Pelodiscus sinensis: one gene and its partner. The protein of the gene in region 1 purifies or fractionates together with the protein of each later gene. This does not show direct contact. Links are inferred from orthologs where the notes say so. Each region holds a gene or a part of one and is shown on either strand. Other genes may lie near its edges. The genes, in order: BCAR1 and BCAR3.

Region 1 (3,914 bases):
GTCACACACATCCGCATGAACACACACATATAATCCCATGTCACACATGCAATCACACACACAGAGCCCCATCTCATACACTCACACACACACAGCCCCATGTCTCAAATACACACTCACAGAGTCCCATGTCACACACGCAGTCTCGTGTCACACACACATACAGACAGGCAGTCCCATGCCACATACACACAAACGCAGCTCCATGTCACACACACACACACATACACATGCACGCAGTCCTGTGTCACACACATGCGCGCACACACAGCCCCGTGTCACACACTCACACGTGCACATGCAGCCCTGTGTCACACACACACACAGTCCCGTTTCACACACTCATGCACATGCAGCCCCATGTCACACACACGTGCACACACAGTCCTGTGTCACACACACGCGTGCACACACAGTCCCGTGTCACACTCACACACTCACATGCAACCCTGTGTCACACACTCACACATGCAGTCCCGTGTCACACAACCACAGGCGCATAAGCAGCCCAATGTCACACACTCACACATGCAGCCTCGTGTCACACACTCACGCGCACACGCAGCCCCGTGTCACACACTCACAGGCGCACGCGCAGCCCCGTGTCACACACTCACACACTTAGCCCCATGTCACACACACAGGCGCACATGCAGCCCCGTGTCACACACTCACACACGCAGCCCCGTGTCACACACACACACACGCAGCCCCGTGTCACACACTCAGGCGCACACGCAGCCCCGTGTCACACACACACACACACAGCCCCGTGTCACACACTCACACACGCAGCCCCGTGTCACACACTCAGGCGCACACGCAGTCCCGTGTCACACACTCTCACACGCAGCCCCGTGTCACACACTCAGGCGCACACGCAGCCCCGTGTCACACGCGCAGGGCGCCCCCTGCTGCCGGCGGGCGGGCGTGCGGAGGGCGGCGCTGGGGGCGGGCTCGCTGCCCAGCCCAGCCCAGGCGGCGCGGCGGCCAGTCGGCCGGGGGAGCGCTGGGGTGCGGAGCTGCCGAGCCGCGCCGAGCCGGGCCGCGCCGCCTGGGCCCGCGGCGGGGCCGCCGGGGAAGATGAACTACCTGGTGAGTGCCCCCCCCCCCCCCCCCGCCCGCCGCGGCCCGGCCCATCCCCGCCGCCTCCTGGCGCCGGCCCCGGCCCATCCCCGCCGCCTCCTGCCGGGCAGCCGGGCCCCGCTGGCAGCTCCGGGCCGCCCCGCGGGACAATGCGGAGCCGCGGCCGCGCCGAGCGCCCTGCCCCGCACGACGTGGCACGGAGCGGGCGGCCCCCGGCGCCGGATCGGGCCCCGCAGCGGGCCCGGGGAGGGTCATTCGCCGGCCCAGAGCCCGGCCGCGCCGGGGGCCTGCGCTGGGGGTGGAGCCGGGGCTGGGGCCGGGCGTGAGGCTCGGTGCGCGGCGAAGCGGCTTTGTCCTTTGCGGGAGAGCGCGACGGACCCCCCTCCCCCCCCGTGATGAGTTGGTTGGGTCTCAGGCCGGGCCCCTAGCTGCTCAGTCCCCCCCCCCCCCCCCCGACCCCTGTGTTGAATTGGTTGGGTCTCAGGCCGGGCCCCTAGCTGCTCAGTCCCCCCCGACCCCTGTGTTGAATTGGTTGGGTCTCAGGCTGGGCCCCTAGCTGCTCAGTCCCCCCCCCCCCCCGTGTTGAATTGGTTGGGTCTCAGGCTGGGCCCCTAGCTGCTCAGTCCCCCCCCCCCCCCGTGTTGAATTGGTTAGGTCTCAGGCTGGGCCCCTAGCTGCTCAGTCCCCCCCCCCCCCCGTGTTGAATTGGTTGGGTCTCAGGCTGGGCCCCTAGCTGCTCAGTCCCCCCCCCCCCCCGTGTTGAATTGGTTGGGTCTCAGGCTGGGCTCCTAGCTGCTCAGTCGTCCCCCCCCCCCCCCGTGTTGAATTGGTTGGGTCTCAGGCTGGGCCCCTAGCTGCTCAGTCCCCCCCCCCCCCGTGTTGAATTGGTTAGGTCTCAGGCTGGGCTCCTAGCTGCTCAGTCCCCCCCGACCCCTGTGTTGAATTGGTTGGGTCTCAGGCTGGGCCCCTAGCTGCTCAGTCCCCCCCCCCCCCCCGTGTTGAATTGGTTAGGTCTCAGGCTGGGCTCCTAGCTGCTCAGTCCCCCCCGACCCCTGTGTTGAATTGGTTGGGTCTCAGGCTGGTCTCCTAGCTGCTCAGTCGTCCCCCCCCCCCCCCCCCGTGATGAGTTGGTTGGGTCTCAGGCCGGGCCCCTAGTTGCTCAGTCCCCCCCCCGCCCCCCGTGATGCGTTGGTTGGGTCTCAGGCCGGGCCCCTAGCTGCTCAACCCCCCCCCCCCCCCCCCCCCCCCCCCCGTGATGAGTTAGGTCTCGGGCCAGGCCCTGGTGCTCGCTGGACTGGTGGCCCAGACCCGGCCGTAGGCTCCGTGCCCCGGTGCCAGGGCGGGCATGCACTGTCCTTCCCCGCTGCCGGAGCCGTCTCATGCCAGCAGCGGGCGCAGGTCCTGGCTGGCCCGAGGGGTGCCTGGGATGGGGGCCCCGCCCGGGGACTGGGTTCCCAGCCAGGGGCCTGTCCCAGCGGGCAGCCTGGCTGCGACCTGGGCATATGTCCTGAGCATTTGTTCCCCCCTAGGATCCCCTCCCCCAGCATGGGCCGCTGCCCTGCCCCGGCCCCTAGCGCCTGCCAGCCCCGGCTCTCGGGGCTCTGAACCAGGGCCTGGTGGCCAAGATGGCCCAGAGGTTCCCCGGACACTCGGCCCCTTCATCCCCCCGAGGGCAGGCAGGGCCGACTCTGGCTCAGGTTGGGCCCGGGGCTCGCAGAGGAAGTGACCTGCCTGGAAGTCGTGTGGCACATCCGGCCGAGCACCGGACTTCCCCGCCCTGCTCTCCCCACTGGCCGGCGCTCCCTCCCTGACTCGGCCCCATGGGACAGGGGCAGTGCCCCCTGCTCCCACCCAGCTGGCGCCTTCCTGGGTCACCCCCCGGCAGGGCCTGCACCCTGCGATTGAGCCAGGGTGCTCTGGCACTTGGCACCAGCCCATGACAGCCAGGAGGGGGTGTCACCAGGCACTGCCCCCTTGCTGGCCCCGGGGGCAAGGGAGGAGGCCCACAGCGCCCTGACCCACACTGGGCCCTAGGCTGCCTCTCCCCTCCCCCCCGGCTGTGTGGGTGCCTGGAACCAGGCTGTCCAAGCTGGGGGTCTGGCAACATTTGACCATCGGGAGCTGGGTCTGTGCTGGGCAGGGGGCCCCGAAGCCTGTTGGGGGGGCCGGATTCCCCCCCCCCCGTGAGATTTGCCACTGGCAATAGAAGGGGGGAGGGAGCCGTTGCTGGAGGAGGCCACGTGGTGCCAGGGGCCGGCGGGGGGGGAACTGGCACAGCCGGTGGCTAGTGGCAGAGCGTAAGTGCCCTGCCCGCCTGCGTCAGCGACGGCGTTAATGATTCACCCGGCAATCAGCCTTCGGCCTGGCGCAGGGCCCCGCGGGGGAGGGGAGCGACTCCTGTCATGCTACAGCAGAGCGGGGGCAGGGACCCCCCCCCCCCCCCCCCCCGCAGCACTTGGAACCCTTGAGAGGAGACGCCCCCTTCGGCCAGGGCCTGCCCCCTGGCTGGGGCCGACCAGGGCTGGGGGGGATCTTCCCAGGTGGCGGGGGTCACAGACCCCTTTGGCAGTGCCCACGGCGGGGGGGTGTCTCTGCGCTGTGGGAGCTGGTGACGGCTTAGCTGGCTGGTTCCCCTGCTGTGTTCGGGGTTCTCTGTCCAACCCCCTTTGCCGCAGATTTGCCCCGGTGAGCGGAAAGGTGGGGGGGGATGGGGCGGTCGCCTGCGTCTCTGGGCAGCTGGTTCTGCCATGGCCGGGGGGGCTACCAGCCCCCTCGGGGCCATTCTCCTCCCTGGGCCTGGTTCCGACGGCAGGCGCTGTGGGGCTGGG
Region 2 (3,914 bases), on another chromosome or scaffold:
ACAGGAACATGAATCAAAGTTATCTACTTGATCTCACTTTAGTAAATGTGTCCATTAGAGCTAATGCTGAACAAGTGGCACTACAAATAATAAACGACTTGTCTTATCTTGCATGCTAGCAAAGTGGCAGTATTTCTTGATACATTTTAGTATAACAAATTGCAAAAGGTGTGGGTTTTTTCTTGTCTTTTCATGATTGCCTTAGATAAAGGGAGAGCATCACACTTCAGTTTCCTATGCTTCAGGCTCAGTCAGACAAGTAATTACAACTAAGTATATTGCTTACTACCTGGGGGTATGTCTACACTACCCCGCTAGTTTGAACTAGCAGGGTAATGTAGGCATACCGCACTTGCTAATGAAGCCCGGGATTTGAATTTCCCAGGCTTCATTAGCATAAGCGGGGAGCCGCCATTTTTAAATCCCCGATGCTTCGAACCCCGTGCAGCGCAGCTACACGGGGCTCGAACTAGGTAGTTCGGACTAGGTTCCTATTCCGAACTACCGTTACTCCTCGTGAAATGAGGTGTACCGGTAGTTCGGAATAGGCACCCTAGTCCGAACTACCTAGTTCGAGCCCCGTGTAGCCGCGCTGCACGGGGTTCGAAGCAGCGGGGATTTAAAAATGGCGGCTCCCCGCTTATGCTAATGAAGCCCGGGAAATTCAAATCCCGGGCTTCATTAGCAAGTGCGGTATGCAAACATTACCCCGCTTGTTCGAACTAGCGGGGTAGTGTCGACATACCCTGGCGTAGTTCCACAGGCAATAGTTAATAGAGCTACTCCTGGTAATAAGTATTACTCTTAAGAGTAGCTGCCTGCAGAATCAGACCCTAATGTTCACATGTCCACAGTAATGTTACTTAAATTTAAAATATAGTTTTATCTTTCCTTAATCCATTATGAAAACATGAAATCCCTGCTCATTTTGTCTTTCAGTACTAGTCACATTGTCAAAAGCTCTGCTTTCATAATTATATACAAGATATTTTAACAACAAAGGGTAGGCACAAAGAATTACACCACAAACATGTTCAGACCTTATATTGATCCTGACATGCGATCTGTGTATTCAGGCCTGCCAAAAGGGGGGGGGGGGGCAAAGGGGGCAACTGCCACTGTGGCAGTTTTAACCCCAGACCCTTTAAATAGTAGGTAGAGCACCGCATGGTGTGTGCCCAGTGGCTCTAAGGGCTGTGCCATGCTCCAAGCAGCACTGAGAGCTGGGGGGTGGGAGAGGGAGCCTGCTGTGGCATGCTCACTACCTCTGGCCTCACCCAGCCATTCCACCTGAGGCCCGGCCCCTTCTGGGGATGCAGAGCCGGCCCCCTCACCTTGCCCAAGGCCCTGGTATATCTGTTGGCTCCCCTGAGTGTATTTATGTAAAGTTATACATTCTCCTGAACGGTCCTGTCTTGCTCCAAGCAGAAGAACAGGTTGAACCTCTCTAATCCAGTACTCTCTAGTCTGGCAGCATCCATGGTCCTGCATGATTTTAGTTAGCTGGAAGTCCATTTATCATGGGTGTGATCAACTTTTCTGTGCTCCCATAAAGTTTGTTTACAGCCACCAGTCCTGGCTCTAAGTGTTCTGTGCTGTCATTTAGCTCTAATTTACCCCTAAATGTCTTCTAAAAATCCAGTAAGCAGTGGAAGTGTTGGTATTGCTGCTAGACAATATTGACCTCCCATGATCCAGCAAATTCTCTGGTTCGGCACCAGTCAGGTCCTGAGGGTGCTGGATAAGAGATATTCAACCTATGCTGAAAAACAGCTTATGTCTGGAAATGTACAAGTGAACAAAGTAATATTTATCAAGAATATTAAAACAGAGAAGTTCTGCATTTGTGGACAATAGACAACTGGGCTTTCAGTTAAAATAACATCAGTTGGGGAACTCTACCTTGAATTTGGGATTAGACTCAATAAGTAAAAAAGCCTTTTCCATCACTAGCTTTTGGGCTTTTAAAGCTTCTATAAATCCAATGAATAAAGGTAAAGAAAGTGTTACTTAGACAACACTTACTTATTCAACTCTCCACCAGAGCTCTGCTAGTCTCATGAGATTTCTCTGTTAGGATAAAGCTTCAAAGTTCTCATTTTCTAACTGGAAACCTGTCTGGTTTGAGACTAATTGTATCAAGCTCACTGAACCACTTGACACTTCCATGGGGATTTTCCTGAAAAAAAAAAAAAGAGTTTCTTACCTCTACATCATCATATTGTTCATCAAAGAGCATGCAATATTCTGGGAGGCCCAGCTGTGTTAGCCAGTTAGAAATGGATAGATGCTTCATAATCTGTTACTCTCCTCACTTCACAATGCCTTTGACACTGCAGAACAAAACGAACAAAAATAGCTAATGCTGAGCATCAGTAGAATTCCAACAGAGCACTTAAAACAGCCACTTTTGTAGCAAATGATCTCCTCTGATGTAATCCTCATTGACTCCAAAGGTATAAGGAATGATTTAGTCATTGTTTTGGAGCTACTGTTAATTATGTATTAAGGTTGGTTATGTTCAATTAAGATTGAAGGACAGAGCCTCAGCTGATGTAAATTAAAGTGAATGAATGGAACTATGATAATTTATGCCATCTGAAGATCTTCTCATACATCTACGTGTAATTTGTTAGTTTTATTTGTAATCTTGATGAAACAGGGCATAACAAAAGCTCAGTTTCTTTTAGCCTTCTAAGACATACAGGCCAACAATATAATAATATAATCAGCAAAAAATGCACAGTCCTTGTGTTCATGGAAAACATTGCTCAATATCTTTGTCCAGCCACTGTGCCTTAGTTTGTCTTTCATGCTGACTAAATTGAGCGATAAAATATATGAGAGGAAGGCAAGAGTAAATGGGACTGTAATGTGTATATGAATGTGTAGGCAGTGAACTGGACTGTGTAGTTTGCCGGGGACAAAGAATGAATATGATCCCGTGGTGTGTGTCAGAGATACACAGACAACCTGGTCACTCAGTTACAGAATATCTCATAACTAGGAGATAGAAGCTACTCCTTTGGCTCCGACAGGATTTTGGCTGGCTTTGAATTTGAGTCCTCTGTCAACAAGACCTCCCAGATCACTTTTTTCACCAGTTTCTGTCTTTCTGTGTCTGGGACTCTGTTTTGGTCTCCCTTTGCAAGATCTGAGAGCACACTACTGGGCCCATCTACAATTAACTGCTGGAGTGGAATACTGATTAATCTCTCAGATGGCTCGGTAAGGATTTGGTGCTCGGTAAGGATTTGGTCTCCTGAGCAGCAACAGCATCAGGAAGATTACCATCAACAGCATTAGAATCAGAGACCAGAAGAGCACACAAGAAACACCTGTAATTTATCACACGTTCCTTCATTAACACATCCACTAAACAGACAAACAATCCCACAACAGCCAATGGAGAATACAAAGGCTACGTCTAGTCTGGCATGATTTTCCGCAAATGCTTTTAACGGAAAAGTTTTTCTGTTAAAAGCATTTGTGGAAAAGAGCGTCTAGATTGGCACAGATGCTTTTCTGCAAAAGCACTTTTTGCAGAAAAGCATCCATACCAATCTAGACGCGGTTTTGTGCAAGAAAGCCCCGATCGCCATTTTTGCCATTGGGGCTTTTTTGCGCAAAACAGTTTTTAGCTGTCTACACTGGCCCTCTTGCGCAAAAACATTTCTGGAAAAGGGCTTTTGCTCGAGTGGGAACGTCAAAGCATTTGTGCAAGAAGCACTGATTTCGGACAGTAGAACGTCAGTGCTTTTGCGCAAAATCAAGCGGCCAGTGTAGACAGCTGGCAAGTTTTTGCGCAAAAGCAGTTGCTTTTGCAGAAAAACTTGCCAGTCTAGATGCAGCCAAAGTGTTTAGCCCTAAGACAGCCCTTACTCACATCTCCTGCTTGGGAGCCATGCACTGTC

The links.
Region 2: the proteins of BCAR1 (region 1) and BCAR3 purify together in Homo sapiens (co-immunoprecipitation; 4 studies listed by BioGRID and IntAct, counting the BioPlex papers as one, with this or other methods). This does not show direct contact. The link is inferred for Pelodiscus sinensis from reciprocal best matches to the Homo sapiens genes BCAR1 and BCAR3.

What each region holds. Positions count from the first base shown.
Region 1 is NC_134722.1:47,962,840-47,966,753, forward strand, and holds the start of BCAR1 (breast cancer anti-estrogen resistance protein 1), read left to right. Parts: upstream 1-935; 5' UTR 936-1,083; coding exon 1,084-1,095; intron 1,096-3,914. UniProt on the Homo sapiens protein: Docking protein which plays a central coordinating role for tyrosine kinase-based signaling related to cell adhesion. Implicated in induction of cell migration and cell branching. Involved in the BCAR3-mediated inhibition of TGFB signaling.
Region 2 is NC_134719.1:35,202,361-35,206,274, forward strand, and holds the start of BCAR3 (breast cancer anti-estrogen resistance protein 3), read right to left. Parts: upstream 2,347-3,914; 5' UTR 2,297-2,346; coding exon 2,207-2,296; intron 1-2,206. UniProt on the Homo sapiens protein: Acts as an adapter protein downstream of several growth factor receptors to promote cell proliferation, migration, and redistribution of actin fibers.